4 linked regions of the Yarrowia lipolytica genome follow. The protein of the gene in region 2 interacts with the protein of the main gene of each other region in a pairwise test. Links are inferred from orthologs where the notes say so. Each region holds a gene or a part of one and is shown on either strand. Other genes may lie near its edges. The genes, in order: YALI1_E39924g, YALI1_D09103g, YALI1_E38640g and YALI1_E25826g.

The links.
Region 1: the proteins of YALI1_D09103g (region 2) and YALI1_E39924g interact in binary tests that used the Saccharomyces cerevisiae proteins (3 or more experiments, as listed by UniProt). The link is inferred for Yarrowia lipolytica from reciprocal best matches to the Saccharomyces cerevisiae genes VPS21 and GDI1.
Region 3: the proteins of YALI1_D09103g (region 2) and YALI1_E38640g interact in a two-hybrid assay, tested with the Saccharomyces cerevisiae proteins (3 studies listed by BioGRID, with this or other methods). The link is inferred for Yarrowia lipolytica from reciprocal best matches to the Saccharomyces cerevisiae genes VPS21 and VPS9.
Region 4: the proteins of YALI1_D09103g (region 2) and YALI1_E25826g interact in a two-hybrid assay, tested with the Saccharomyces cerevisiae proteins (4 studies listed by BioGRID). The link is inferred for Yarrowia lipolytica from reciprocal best matches to the Saccharomyces cerevisiae genes VPS21 and PEP7.

What each region holds. Positions count from the first base shown.
Region 1 is NC_090774.1:3,990,255-3,994,091, forward strand, and holds YALI1_E39924g (uncharacterized protein), read right to left. Parts: upstream 2,136-3,837; coding exon 783-2,135; downstream 1-782. Other genes in the region: YALI1_E39886g (uncharacterized protein), read left to right, coding at 1-531; YALI1_E39934g (uncharacterized protein), read left to right, coding at 3,214-3,837. UniProt on the Saccharomyces cerevisiae protein: Regulates the GDP/GTP exchange reaction of SEC4 by inhibiting the dissociation of GDP from it, and the subsequent binding of GTP to SEC4. Plays an essential role in the yeast secretory pathway.
Region 2 is NC_090773.1:909,193-912,574, forward strand, and holds YALI1_D09103g (uncharacterized protein), read right to left. Parts: upstream 1,204-3,382; coding exon 574-1,203; downstream 1-573. Other genes in the region: YALI1_D09140g (uncharacterized protein), read right to left, coding at 2,672-3,382.
Region 3 is NC_090774.1:3,861,804-3,866,237, forward strand, and holds YALI1_E38640g (uncharacterized protein), read right to left. Parts: upstream 2,254-4,434; coding exon 607-2,253; downstream 1-606. Other genes in the region: YALI1_E38608g (uncharacterized protein), read left to right, coding at 1-435; YALI1_E38656g (uncharacterized protein), read left to right, coding at 3,820-4,434.
Region 4 is NC_090774.1:2,580,670-2,584,820, forward strand, and holds YALI1_E25826g (uncharacterized protein), read left to right. Parts: upstream 1-1,967; coding exon 1,968-3,542; downstream 3,543-4,151. Other genes in the region: YALI1_E25812g (uncharacterized protein), read right to left, coding at 1-588; YALI1_E25859g (uncharacterized protein), read right to left, coding at 3,834-4,151. UniProt on the Saccharomyces cerevisiae protein: Required for vacuole segregation and vacuole protein sorting. Possibly part of a complex which tethers the vacuole membrane to microtubules, either directly or via kinesin or dynein-like motor proteins.

The sequences.
Region 1 (3,837 bases), on a different chromosome or scaffold from region 2:
CATCAGCCTGTTCCTACCACCGTGACTCCCTCCAACTCTGGAGCTCTCAACAACAAGGACTCTCCTTGGTACTCTCCTCCCGTGGACGAGCAGTTCCGAAACTCTTTCATTCCTGACGCTCCAGTATCGCCCTCCGAGTCCATCTCGTCCAATTTCACATCAGTGTCCCAGCGGGGTATCAACCCCCGATACTTCGGGGCTGATGGACCTCCAGGAGGCCTCCACCAAGGAGCTCCTCCTCCTCCTCATATGCGAGGACCCCCACCTCATATGGGAATGGGTGGTCCCAACATGGGTGGCCACAACATGGGTGGCCACAACATGGGTGGTCCTCCTCCCAATATGGGTCCTCGACCTCCTTATGGTGGCGGGGGACCTGGTCATGGCAATAAGCACGATCTCTTGCTTTCGGGCAACCCCGACTTCCAGTTCCAGCCTCAAACTCGGCGAAAACCTGGTCGCGGCGGTCGACCCGGCATGTCTCCTGCTAGCTTAATGGGCCGAGATACCGGACCATACAGCATGAGATGAACAACTTAATCAGGCACTCTAGAGCCTGGTTAATACTTTTTATTCTAGGCGTTGTAATTAATTTATTTGGTTGGTTAACACTGTGCGAGTGTGTAGGATGGGGTCTGGGTTGCGTATGCGTTTACTTAACATTAACGAGTCATCAATTTATCTTATATTCGCAGTTATCTACTCTGCAATTCCCTAAGTAAGATTACATAATATCATGCATAATCACTCATTTCAATATATTATCATTACAGACATGCAGCTTACTCGGCTCTAATAGCGCTCTCATCCTCCTCGTTCTCGGGTCGGGGCTTGACCACCAGGGGCTGGCCAGTCAGGCGGAAATAAATGTCCTTGACATCGTCAGTGGTCGACTCGAAATGCGAAGACGAGTCGTAGGACTTGGAGATGAAGACTCCGTCCTTGGTGCCATCCTCGATGGGCTCGTAGATGTCGGCAATGCCCATCAGGGTCTCCTTTCGGGGACCCAGCAGGTTGAAGGCAGGCTCAAGCTCAATGTGGGGCTTGTCGGTCTCGATGATGGTGGAGACAATGGCCAGGTAGTGGTCCTTGGCGCAGACGTTGTGGGCAGAAGACATGACAGCAATATAAATGTCGTTCTTTCGCTGGACCTGGTTCTGGGGGATGATGATCTGAACAGAGTCCAGGTTGCCAGTGTTGGGCACGGGGTGGTCCAAAATGCACATGGCTCGGATAACCTTCTGGCCAGTCTTCTTGACCTTCTCAGGGAAGTAGGTGGGATCACCGATGACAATGGGAGCGGAAGCAACCTCGCCCTCAGACTTGACACCAGTCACCTTGCCGTCCTCACCGTAGACAATCTCGTCAACGGGCTTGTTAAGCATGAAGGTACCTCCGTAGATGGCGGAGAGACGGGCAAAACCCTGGGGCAGCTCACCCAGACCGTAGACGGGGTAGATGTAAGGAGACTTTCCGTATCGGGCCATGGAGTTGAGGTAGAGGGCGATTCGCTCCACGGTCTCTCGAGCAGGCTGCTTGAGGTAGTCGTCGTTGGTCCACAGAGCCATAGAGTGGCCCACAAAGTCCCGAGTGCCGGTCTCAAGACCAAACTTGAGGTAGACCTCGGACATGGTGTTGGTGTCGAGCTTGAGGCCCTGGTGGGTGGCGAGATCGTCCTCCTTGTAGCCTCCGACGAACTCGAGGAACTTGGCAAGTCGTCGCTTCTCAAACATACCCATGAGAGAAGAGTTAATGGCCTCCGATCGGTTGGAGGGCACCTTGGCGATCTTTCCAGATCGGAAAACGAAGGAGCCGGAAATCTGCTTAAAGTCGATGTATCGGGTCACGTTGGTGTGCACCAGAATGTTGGAAAGCTCTCCATTGGCCATGAGGAATTTAGGGATCAGATCCACGTTCCAGTCTCGGTCTCGGCCCAGTCCGTCGGGCTTGGTGTCCTCCTTGCCAGGTCTGAACTTCTTGTAGAGCTGGGTAAGGTTGAGAGAAGCAGACTCTCCACCGTAGTGGTCCTGCCGGTCAATGTGCAACACCTTCTTGCCCTCGACGGATAGGATACCGGAGAGAATGCACTCGGTAAGGCCCGTGCCGAGCACAATGACGTCGTATTTTTCGTCCATGATGATATGTGGGTTGTTGTATAAGAAGGGTTCAAGAGAGAGGTTCCACGAAGGCTAGCGTAAGGTGTTGCTTAAGGGACGTGGTTGATTAGGGTTGCGTTACCCGGATTTGGTTACTAGTGCAATCTGGGTTAGGTCTTTCCGTGGAAGGTGACACTATAAAGTACAAGCTATGGTAGGGAGGTAGAGTCAGTTGTCGTTTAATCATGACAGGTACCCGCCTCCCCAGCTCTCATCATAGTGTAGCGACTCATCTCTAGATTCGCCATATCGCTACGTGGCCATGCATGGTTGCACGGTTGGGACACCCGTCATGCAGAATCAGGGATGTTAATAGCCACACAAGGCTTGGAGGTGTGAGTGCGGCAGTGCGACTGAAAGAGTTAGCCTGTGATCAGTGAGACAATTGAGTGTTTATCTGGGTGAATTGATAAGTTGTATACGTTCATATCGTTTATTGATGATTGCGTGGCCATCGTAACAGCACGTGCATATTCTCAGCAGTACTCATGTGTGTCTCCTGGGAGCTGAGTTGTTGCTGCGGTTACCATCATCATGATCGTATCCTCGTAATTTTAGCCATACGAGTACGATACCATTGCAGGTACTTGTACTGTATTGATACGAGGCGAGCAGAGTCGATATAGAGCACATAACGATAGGGAAAGAGTGGGACAATTGCTAGAAACTATGGCGTTCCTATTGTTTTTGTTCTTCCCTCTCTCCAGATAAATTTCTCATAACCTGCCTTAACCATGGCTTGAGAATCATTTCCCTCTGAATTTTCACTTTTGATCAGAAAAAAGTAACGTTCCACCGTTCTGATGGATATGTACTGCGGCTTTAGAGGTCCTATTTAGGAAACTACATGCGACGATTGGATATGAATAACACCGATTTCAAGCTGACTCTTCGATGCCGAGTGCTTTTGTCTTCTCCACCCCCACATCCAGTACCCCCACATTCAACCCCCCACACCAGATTATTGAGTACATGTTTAGGCAACCTTATACGGCTCTAGACCAGTGATAAGTAAGAGTCAAATTCATCCTTCTCGAAACATCACAACGACAGTGAAATGACTCGATTGCCGCTGATATCGATAAAAGACGCGAAGTTCCGCATGATTGGGGCCCTGGCCTCGTCAGGATCCAACCCTTACATTTTCCCCAATCCCATTTCGCTGACAATCAACCCGGATGAGAAATGGGTCATCAGTGGACCTCGAAAGTCGCAATTGATGTCCATTCTGGCCGCCAAACATGTATCAGATCCACCTCTGGGCCGGCAGTACCCTTTCCTCAAGAAAAAACGGGTTCCCAGCCAAGTCATCCAGACGCTGGAGTTCCGAGGATCAATCAACATGGGTCACTTGTCAGCTCGATATGAGTTCTTCAAGGACGAGTTCGACATGACTCTCATCGAGGAGCTCAAGCGAGCCTCCCGTGATCCCGCAACCGCGATGGACGACATTCCCCAGTTGCTGAAGATGTTGGAGCTGGACCAAATTGGTGATCGATGGTTTGGAGCTCTTTCCAACGGGCAGACCCGGCGATCTCGAATCGCCAAGGCTCTCATGAAGCATCCCGAGCTTCTGCTCATCGACGACCCCTTCCTTGGTCTCGATCCCGGTGCCGCTGACCTTGTCAGCAATGTCTGCAAGGAATTGCCTGAGACCAGAGGTACACACGCCATTCTGGGT
Region 2 (3,382 bases):
TCATGGGGGGTTTTATTTGTGTCCTGGGGAAGAAATCCCCCTTCACAGCGCTACTTATCTCCCCAATTGCAGCTTCAGCCGATTATCCTATTGCTTCGTCGAGCCGCGCATGTGTCTCATTATGATGTCATCTGACCAAGATCGCAATCTACTCTCTAGGAGGAAACACTGTGTGACACCAAAATACACAAGTGTCCGACAAGCCGATGGCGACAGGATACTAGGGTCACGTGACCCGCCTGAAGCGCCCGATTGACCGCGGCGAATGACGGGGTACCTTATTCTCAACTGTTTGCGTACAAAAATGCGTCATTATCCATGCTCATAATTACTGCCTACCTGTGAATAAGGCCAACGCAGGGACCATGTTTTTGTGAGTGAGAAGTGGGCTGTGTCCACACAGTACTTGTACTTGTAGATAACAAGACAGACAAGGTGATTAAAAAAATATGGACGCCGACATGGACGATACAAGTGAACTACAAGTAGAGTCTACTTGAGGCCATACACCGACGCCTGCCACTTGTATTGGCAGCCCGCTGGGATGGCGCATCTCCGCAATAATTACTCTATCTAACAAGCACAGCTGCTTTCGGGGCCAGCGACGGCCGAGTTGAGGTCGACCCTGCTGTCCTCCTCTGCTCCTCTGAGGCCTCCAGATGGCGCCTTCTGCTCCTCGGGAATCTTCTGGGCAATGGCCATGAACACGTCCTTGACGTTGAGGCCGGTCTTTGCCGAGGTTTCAAAAAAGAGCAGACCCTCCTCCTCGGCGAGCTGCTTGCCCTCGTCCTCCGCCACCTTTCGGGCAGACTCGTCGTCGTCCACCAGATCTCGCTTGTTGCCGACCAGGGCAATGATGATGCCTGGAGATGCCTGGGACTTGAGCTCGCTGACCCAGTGTCGGGCCTTGATGAATGACTGAGGCTTGGTGATGTCATAGACCACGAGCGCGGTCTGGGCGTTTCGATAGTACATGGGCGCCAGAGAGGCGAATCGCTCCTGTCCGGCCGTGTCCCAGATTTCAAATTTGATTGTGCGGTCGGGGAAGTTGCACTTTTGTGTGAGGAAGGCTGCGCCGATGGTGGGCTCTTTGTTTTCCTGGAACTCGTTGCTGACGAACCGCAGCACCAGCGACGACTTGCCGACCGCGGCCTCGCCGAGCAGCACCAGTTTGACGCTGGTGGTTTTTCTGGGGGCAGACATGTTGAGAACTGTTATCGGTGTTGTAGATGTCAAGGTGACTACGTGTGAAAGTAGTGTAATGTTCTGGAGTAAAACTGCAAGTGGTGACGCTGCTGTTGTTGCGGTTGCGGTTGCTGTTGCTGTTGCGCTGTTGCTTTGATGTCACTGCTGCTGTCACGGTCACGGGGAGATTGTTGTAGTAACTGGGAGCCGTCGTTTATCCTGTAGCTGTAGCTGTGCTGTCACGATACAGAAAGGAGGCAACCCAAGTCAAAGTCAAAGGTAGCGCTGAGCTTGTCCTAAAGTGGCAAAGTGGGTTGGGAGAACTGAGAGTTGGTGGCAATAATAATGCCGAGGGCAGTGACGAGACAGACACAGCCGGTACCTGAAAAGGGGATCCCGGAATCACATAGATATATACATTTCCTCCTGTCACGTGACCAAACTCGCTCGCAACGGACTTTTTTTCTCTTGCAACCACCTGCCATACCAGCCACAGTCTTGAACAATAGCTACAGAACAAGCGTCCAACTGCCTGCACTGGGCGAACCTAAACAAAGCTGTATTACTGAACAGCGCTACCAACGGGCAATCACCGTATCAGATGCGCTGGCCTGCACCGTCTCTCCCTCTTATCCAACACACGTCGTATCCAAGACCGATGTAGCCAAATCGTGCCAATGACGAGGACCAGAGAGGGAGTGCTGAGTAATCGCACGCTGAGCTTTAACTTGATCTAATCCGAGGTGGTGTACAAAGTGTCAGCAAACTGCATTCACTTTTGATACGGTGATTATGGTATGCGATAACACAGCCAGTACACAATGATGGCACATTACCATACAAAATATTACAAAATATTACATAAGGCACACCAATGACACAGTCACGTGATTGACCCAACTCGCTCAGCATGTTCTGTTTATAAACAGACGTTGTACTTGTACTGTACACACGGTGTGTTGAACTATTATTAGCAGACGGACTAGTACATACAGTATATCGTGTGTGATAATCTGTCATGATAACTGCCATCATCACTCTGTATGCAGTCTTGAAATATTATATTACAAGCAAGAATCATGTGTATTCCGATGTATGTACAGTAATTTCAAATTGACCCTAAACAAACAGAATCTGAGAAGAAAATGCGGATTGCAACTCTTGTACAAGTATCCACCTTCCTATCATCACATTCAAACATAATACGGAGCAAGACATTCGTTACAGTCCACTCTACTTGCCGGTACCTTCAATTACCCCTAATGATGCAAATAAATATAGTATATTACATGTGAGTCGAGATCCAAATGTGGTCATCTCGTTGAGCAAGTCATAATCGTCATCTCGTTGAGCACTTCTCGCACCCTCAAGTCATCTCCAAATCGTCATCTCCAAATCGTCTCCTCCAGATCGTCATCTCCAAATCGTCTCCTCCAAATCGTCCCCTCCAAATCGTCTCCTCCAAATCGTCTCAACCACCAAACTGTTACGCCTTGATCGTAGCAGGCTCGGTTCGGGCAGGCTCCGAAGCCGCCCGCTCTACGTCCCGGGTATCAACACTGACCATCTTGGTTTCCACAGCCATACCGTCAATGGAAGCGCGCATAATGAGCCGCTTGGGCAGCACCTCCTTGACCCACGGCCTCTGGCCAATTTCAAACGCTGACCACCGCTTGTTGCGCCGCTGTAGACAGCCCTTTACAATCTCCTTGCCGCCGGTCCACGCCTCGCGATCCCACTGGCCAGTGGGCACGCCTAGACCGGTGGGGTTGGGAGACGTATTAGGTGTTCCATCGGGCTCGTCCTTGAACACGCCCCAGGACCACTCGATCCGGGCAATCCGGTGGGCCGTCCGGCCACGAGACCGGCCACCCCCAGACGTTCGGGGCGCGTCAAACGGAAGCCGACCCTCCATGATGGCGTACAAAAGTACACCAAGAGCCCACGAGTCGGTCTGGCGGCCGTCGTAGGGCTGACCCATGAGCAGCTCGGGAGGCACGTAGTCCTCGGAGCCGCAGCGGGTGGTGAGTGTGGGCTCGCTGGGGTCAATGCGACGAGCGAGACCCAGGTCCGTCAACGTGACTAGACTGTATGGGTAGGTCACGGGATCCAATGTAAGCATCTCCTCCACGGGGATATTGAGAAGAACGTTTTCCAGCTTAATGTCACGGTGAACAATGTTTTGCGAGTGCAGATA
Region 3 (4,434 bases), on a different chromosome or scaffold from region 2:
GTGGTCAGTTTGTCACCTTCCAGATCAACTTCTTCTCTTGAAGATCTGTGCACTCCTTCTCCCAGCCCACAGGTTGCAAGAAGAGATATGAGTGGAGGAGGAAGTCGATTGGATCTAAGAGCAGATCCTAGACTCAATGGTCGACCCAAAACGCAACAACCTAGACCTAGCTACAATTCTGCACTGGCTACAGCCAAACCTTTAGATCCGATCGAAGGATCTCCCACATCTCTAGAAGGTCGAAACCGAACCAGATCGGCTTCCCCCACCAAGAAGCTCTCTTCATTATCCCTTAATGCCCCCTCACTCCCCCAGTCCCAAGCGCGAGTCAACATTCCTGCACTCATGAGACCAGCAAGTCCCATCAAACAACCCAGCCCTCCTAAACCGGCCCCCGGATCCAAGTTCGCGGACGTCTACGGTCGGAGACGATAGCATTATACAGTCCATTTTCATAATCATTAATACATACGATACCACAACGCGCCGTCAAAAGTTTTGCTACTTGTAGTAACATCATTAGAGATTATTTTCTCTATTCATCTATATCCATCATAATTCATTAATTTCGTTCCTTTTTGATTGTAGGTAGTCGTGCAGTACACATCAGGACTCACCAACCAGCATAAGACAGTAGTCAACAGCAGCTCCAACGTTGCATTTCTTCTCTCTCACGATATCTTCAATGATTTCGTGATCGAGGATAGGGAACATTTGGTGCAGAGTGTTGACCACAGAAGCGTGTTCCTCATTTTGGATTCTTTGAGCCTCGTACTCCTCAGCAGAGGCTTGTCGAGCAGCTGCCTCCTGGTGAGACAGACCCTGGGCAACAGCGATGCTCTCAGCTTCAGACTGGGGAGTAGCGTCCTCCGTTGAAGCTCCCGCATCGTCAAAGCTGCCCTCAAAGAACTTACTGAGCGACTTGAAGGGGCTAGTAATGAGTCCTGCAGAGCTCATGAGAATGTTAGAAGGAGTGCTGCTCTCAGGTGACAGAGCTGGAGATTGTGAATCAGCTCTGCCGGGGGTGTCTGGTGGCGCAAGAGCCTTCTGCTTGGCCTCCTCGGCGGCCTCCTGCTCCTTCTTGGCGTTCTTCTCAGCAATCTCAGCCAGAGTTTGTTCCAGGTTGGTATCAAAGTCCTCATCGGTGATGCTCAACGACGACTTGTCCAGCTGCTCAACAAAAGCAACGGCTCCCAGCAGCGAAGAAAGATAGTACCCGGGCTCTCCGCTAAGCCGCTCGCTCGATCTGAACCGCTGAATATAGTTGAGGTTAGAAATCAGGTGCTGCGGCTGGGCCTTGAGAACCACATAAATAAGCAAAGGAAGGAACCCGTCTGCGGATTCCTCACTCTTGGTCTGTCTCAGAAGTCCAAAGATGACCTTGCAGCAGTTGAGCACGCAAATCATCTTATCCCGGGGAGCTCTGTAGTTGTTAATCTTTCGAAGTTCCTCACTTGCCAAAGTCACAAACGATGCACCCGATTTCCAGAACTTATCGTCAATATCCAAATGACGGCCTTCGATCCATCCCCAAAGCAGCAGTTTCTCTTCCAATACATGATCTCGGATAAGATCCTCTTCGTTTCCGTCTGCAGCGGCACTGGGATTCTTCGCATGAAGAACACCTATGCTGTCCGCATTGTCCAGCTTGACCACCTCAGGAGAATATGTCTTTGAATAAAGCCGGTTCATGATAAGCTTCTCGATACCTTCCTCCATGTTGACGAGCTCGTTGTCGGTCATATCCGCAAAGGGAGGGCTCTGCATCTGTTGGATCTTGTTGCTGATGAACTCCTTGAAATCACCAATGATCTTGACCTGCTCATTGACAGTCCATCTCTTCTTGTTGAATTCGCTGAGAAAGGACTTGAGATATCGTGCGATGGGGTCTGCGTTCTTGTGTCGCAGCAGTTCCAGAAACCGCTGAAAGTCGAAAGGGGCGTTATCATCAGACGAGCTTGGAGTGGCCTTCTCTTCGTTACCTGGAGTAGCCCCAGTCGGTCGGGCAGCATCGGTGGTTGATCCAACCTCACTTTCAGGCTCGGTTTCAACTACCTCAACCTCGACCGACTTGTTGGTATCTGTGGTGTCAGCTGTGTCCTTGGTGCTGTCGTCATCTTCAACATTTGCGCCGTGCTGTTCTTGTTCCACCTCCTCGACTTTGGTGGGTTTGGTGTTGTCCAACGGCGGATTTGGCTCCTCTTCAACCACCTTCTTTTTCGTCTTCTCGATAGGAAGATCCAACAGACTCATGGTTGTGTGTTGCTTGGTCGTGTCTTCCCAAATTTTCACTTCTGAATTATTTTGTGGTGATGTTTCTGCATGAGCGATTACATGGCGAGAGCGTACGAGTAGGTTAACTTTGGGCAGTAGGAGGTGGCAAGCTGAATATGGCACTCTTTGTGGGGAGTCCAAACAGCAAAGATAGCAGTGAAAACGACAACCGAATTATAGGCTCTTTCTGAGGCTTTTCGGGTGACTTAAACCCTTGTTTAATCCATTACAACCACCCACTTCTCGCGTTGCTGACTCACTATCTATATGTGTGCAGTGCACTGGTCCTCGGCCAGCCACCAAACAGCCTGCATGGTGACTCGCGAAGATTGCCGAGTTTGAGTTAGATGCTTCATGTTGGCTGAACTGAACTGAACTGAGCTGAGCCAGACAGCTCACACAGTGGGCTTGCAAACAGGGTCTAAAATAAAGAACACTCCATTTCTGTTGAATAAACGAAAGGGAGCGGGCCGCAGTCAATAATGAACGGCTTCCGATGACCGAGAAAAGAATCGGCTGGATGATGTTGAACAACTTCTGCTGTGCGAGTACCCAGGCGATAATAGTACATACTGTAGGAACAGGAATACTTGCACTCGTCCTCTTACTCGTACCGTACGTATCCGATACTGTGGCGTTTTCAGTGGCGCACTTTGCTTAGTTCCCCATGCTCGTGTGTGATAATACAGCAGAGCAGCCAAAATGTACTGTAAACACCATCATGCACATTCCACACATGTTCTTGGCAGAGGACAAACCAAACACCTTTAGCCACTACGAAGACTCGGAGAATATAGAGTGCTGCTAATGGTGGCAAAGAGCAAGTCGCTCTGGCGCATCTTCCCTTGTCTAAACTTTTTTTCCTCTTTTTCTTTTCTTTCCGAGCTCGTATAACCCATAAATCAAGGGGGGTTATCCAGGTCCAGACCGCCGGTAAAAGAATTTAACTACGGTATACCCTTTGCGTTGTCAAGGTTACGGTGTTGTGCCAATCCGTAAGCGAGATAAAAGGGAACGAAGAGAGACGGAACAAAGTGTCAGTCCGATAGAATTTGCAACCCGTGACAAGATGAAAAACAACCAAGCAAGAGACGGTGATTTGGGAGGGCAAAAATTATCTCCATGATGATAATATCCGATGGAGAAATCTAATAAGTATGCAGACAGGATCCATTACTCCTTTAAACCGTCCTTAATTTAGACCGGGAACTTGTGTGTCGTATTACCCCGATCTTTCAGTCCATTCAAGATGGGGTATCCACTTTTTTTTTCCTCCACCTGCAACAGCTTGCAGAGTGTAGGCATCAGAAATGAGGAAGATGGGGCACGGCGCTTTGACGAGATGGACAAGGACGTAGACGGGAAAAGACGTGATGAAATCTAATGAAAGAAAATTGGGCTTGGTTGTAGAGCAATATTTTTACCTCGAGCGATCTCAAGAGGCTACTGACGTGCCTCCAAACTCGCTGACATAATCCTACTGTATTGCCACACATTAAGTTGGTATCTGCAGGGTTCTCATCTCTACTCCTTCACACCAAAAAAATGCGTCAGGGCCTATACGCCTTGGGTTCCAATGGCCATGGCCAGCTAGGAAATGGACACATGGACGACACGGCCGAAGTACATACTGTGGTCGGACCACAGGGGCTGATTACAGAGCGACCCATAGCTCTCGAGTTTGGCGGGACTCACTCCATTCTCCTGATGCAGTCCGACCCCGAAGCATACTACGTCACTGGTTCTAACGACATGGGCCAGTTTGGAGACACTCAAACGCGCAGATGCCAGGAGTTCATTCGCATGGCCACGCCAGGCCACACCTGGAAACGGGCTGCCGCAGGGTGGACGTTTTCTCTGCTCGTAGATGAGCAGGACCATGTTTACTCATGTGGCCACTCCAACTTTGGAGGACTAGGACGAGGACAGGCAACCCCTACCAGCCGCAAGCTGGGCCGAATCGAAGGTCTGCCTGATAAATCTATTTCAGCCATGAGCTGCTGCTTGGAGCATGTCGTGGTACTGTACGACGATGGAGAGGTCTGGGGATGGGGAGGGGCACGCAAGGGCCAACTGGGACTCCTGAACGGGCCAGTGCGATGCCTGTGGATCCCCCGAAAGCTCGACCTGGGAGCCTGTGCTCCTTCTACCCCCACAGAC
Region 4 (4,151 bases), on a different chromosome or scaffold from region 2:
CCGAGCGTTGGCACTACAGTCGTGGTTGACAAATCGAGCAGGGCCTAGCATGAGACAGTTTCCGCCTCTTCGTGAGGAGTGGAGCACAGAAAAGTCGTTGGCAAGGGCCAGCTCTTCGTCCTTGGTCATCTTGGCCAGACAACCAGACAGACCGACAATCTCGTCTCCCCGGTTGTATCTGACTCTGGAGATGACACAGGACTCTCCTCGGTTGGAGCGGCACTTGTAACGCATGGACACGTTGATTTCAAACCCGCACGACGCCTTGTAGATGGTCAGGTATCGAACTGTGTGTCTTTGGAACTCTTCGTAAGCCAGTGGACTAAGCCGTCCTCGGTATCCTCTGACCTCCTTGAGCTCCAGAAACGCGTTGGTGGCCTTCTTCACCGCCAGATTAGCCGCAGCTCCGGTCTCGCAGGCGGCAATGGAGCGCACCAGGTCGTGGATATGACGATCTGAAATGCCGCGTAACGGCTTGTAGTGCACGGAGGCCTTGCGGACCTCGGCCCAGTAGAATACGCGCTCCAGCAGCAGGTCGGTGAGAGCGTCGTCGATGGTTGCCAACTCCCCGGGCGTGACCGTGATCATTGTGCTGTTGACGGGTCGTTAGATGGTCGTTAGTATGGCTTGTGTACAGCTTTGAATTTAGCAAAAGATGCGTGCTTTCATGCATGTGGGGGTCACAGTGGTGTGGTTGTTCTGAAGGGTGTGGGGAGAGTGTGTATATAAGAGGGTGGTTCCCGGGTGAATATTCGACATGGAAAACTCGTTTTATTTCTTTCAGGTGGTATTTACGTCGTTGCCAGGGGTTTTTCTGCTCTACAACTTGTGCATTAACTGTCACCCATCTGAGCTACTACTCCTCATGCGCCCTACACCCATAGCTGACTGACAAGGGTGATTCATAAAAGAGAGCTTGTATGAAAGACTGTGTATAACAGATATGAGGCTCTACAGTATGAGGCTGTGGTTACCGAGCCGGGTTGTACCATCACTTTTTATTGCATATCCTGTAATAATCAGAAAGATGGTGCAAGAACCAAAAACAGCCGTATATTCGTATGTACTCGTTCTTGTTCTATCTGTCCTGTCACACGTCAGCGGAAACTAGCCAACTAGTGGCTTATAGACGTGTTTTGAGAGCCGTACTATACAGAATCGTATCTCTGTCTCTGTTGTTTACGACTCTAGAAACCAGAAATGGTTTCAGAGTGGTCTTCAGAGTGGTCACACACAACCACTTATGCCCGAACTGCATCCCATCGCATGTTTCAGATCAGGCCGAGACGGTTTAAATCGGGTTTAAATCACCCCAGAGCGTTTGAATTCGATCTTGAGGGGATAACGACCCACCAACTAACGACATACAAGTGCTACTGGACGAGGTTGAGTACATTTACTGTATACAGTACCAGTGTTAAGTACCGTACGGTACTTGTAGTACTGTCAGAGTTAGAGGCAACAATATTTACTGTTTTGGTGTGCAGTACATACGAGTGTACTACTGGAATCGACTGAGATGGGGGGGGGATGTAGAGAGTCATCGTTGGGGTATCCGTACAGTATACTTGTACCACTGTGCAGGTGTAGATCTGTCAAATGAAAGGTGATTAAAGACTTCTCCATATCAAATCCCTTCTTTCTTTTCTTCGGAAGCCCTATCTTTCCGCAACTCCAGTTTCACCTTGTTGCTACAGTAAATAAACGCTATCCTTGACTTTCTTTCAACTAAATTAGGTGCAATGCTTACCCAAGTTTGTTAGCCGTCTACACCACAGCATCGGTCACAACTCCACCAGTAGACTAGATATACAAAATCAAAACACATATCCGCACTCCACGTAATCACTAAACCTCAAAACCTGCCCTACCTTTTCAACAACTCCCTAACCTGCCGACCCTCACATGCAACCCCGCCATATTACTCAGCTTATCACGCACCACCCACAAGTACACTCTATTTCAGCATGCGCAAAAAACGAGTGATCGGAACCAAGGTGGAGCCGGTGAAGGAGCCCAAGGTGGTGCAAACAAGCGCCGCTCCCACTCCGCCACCCCCGCCGACCCCGCCGGTCGTCTCCACGGCGTCCCCAGGCCCCGAATCACACTCAGCCACTTCGCTGACATGTCCGATTTGCGAGGAGACAATGTTGACGCTGATGCAACTGAATCGGCACATTGACGACGTACACGGTGATGGCAAGGTAAAGGGCAAGACACGGGCGTCCAGCGAGAAACCACACACGAAACCGCGACCCACCGACGAAATGGTGACCAGACGGCACTGGAAGCACCCCGGACCGGGCCAAACATGCCACTATCCGGACTGCAAACGCAAGCTGGGAGCCAGGAACGGCTCAAGGCACTGCCGACATTGTGGAAACATCTTCTGCCACGGCCACAGTCGCTACAGAATGAAGTTGAGCCGAGATGCTCACCACCAACCAAAGGGCGGTATCTGGTGTTGGGTGTGCAAGACTTGCTACACGGGCAGAGAAGGGTACAATGACACGACAGGTACTGAAAGAGATCTGACGCAAGAGTTCAAGAAAAAACGCCAGGCGAAAATCGACATCCAGGAGCTGTCCGTCAATAAGCTGGAAAACAGACTGAGACGACTTGCGGAGGAAAGCATAGAGAACGAGAGCTCGGGACCCTGGTGGAAACCCAAGGCGGCTGTCACAGCCTCAGTACCATGGCAGGAAGACTCAACACAGCCCAATTGTCCGGAATGCCAGGTCAAATTCACCTTTCTGATCCGCCCTCATCATTGCAGGGTGTGCGGAAAGGTGGTGTGTGGACAGACATCCACACAATGTTCTCTTCCTGTTGGTGTGAACATTTTAATCAACAGTCTCGATATGAAAGAGGAGTTCAGCGACACCATTCCAACAGATTGCGAACCCATACGGATCTGCATGACTTGCAAGAATACAGTCTTTGGTAGACGTAACTTTCAGCGGGATGTCAACTCCGATCCCAGCGAGCTGCTTAAGCTGTACAACACCATGACCCATCTGACCACTTCCATCGAAAACATGATGCCTCGGTTCCAAAAGGAGCTTGAGGAGACGATTGCGTCCAAAAAGATGGCCGGTATGCATCCCAAGGACATTTTGGCAGCGTCCAAGCTGCGTAAGCGTCTTCTCGATACCTTTTCGCAGCTAGATTCGGCTGCTAGAAGAGTAGGAGCACTGGAGGGACTGTCTCCTACAGAAGAGCGAATACAGCAACAGATATACACAGCTGCGGTGTCATTTCTACAAGAGAAGATGCTGCCCTTGAAAACGCTTCCCAAGGTGCTGGGTAGTGAAGCTACAGCCCCCGAGCCAGCTAAACCCCGTCCTCCTGCCAACTACAAGGCACTTCAGCAACAGCTGGTGGTCATGGAGGAACAGAGGTTTATGGTGGAGAACATGATGCTGGAGGCCAAGCAGAGGCGAAAGTACGACGAACTGGGGCCTTTAGAGATGTCTGTGAAGGATCTCGATAAAGAGATTGAAATTCTGAGGAAGAGGCTAGGAGATGAAGCATTTGTTTAATCTCAGTTTAGAGCAGCACCACGAAGGAATATTTGTACTCATAGAAAGTGCTAGCGACCCTATGGCATGATACTGTATGTATCAGAACAGTAATGAATAATGAATGATGACAATTATGTATATTACTTGTGGCGGATTCGGTGACTGTAGATAATTGTACAAGATACAACTATACTTGAACATCACATACGAGTGCGGAACATTTCAGAACGTGAAAATGTTCTGTGATTCTAGATCAAGTCTGTAATTACTCCATACTCTATCCAACATACATTAGCTATACTTGTCCTTCTAAGACCGATCGAAGAGCCCATCATCATCATCGTAGTCGTCTCCTCCGCTGACGGACCAATCGTCCGAGTCGCCCATTTCGCTGTCATCGTCATCATCGTCATCTTCGTCATGGTCGTCAGTGTATTCGTCGGACTCCATCAAACCCTCCAAGGACAGCTGTAGCATGGTTTCGTTCTTGGCCACCTTGCCAGCCTCCACCTTGTATCCTCCTTCAACATTGCAGCCTGTGAGTTTGGCCTTGGTACCGACTGTGGTCTTAGTTCCGACCAGACAGTTCTCCAGAGTAACGTCATCGGCAATGAAAGCGCCGTCAAA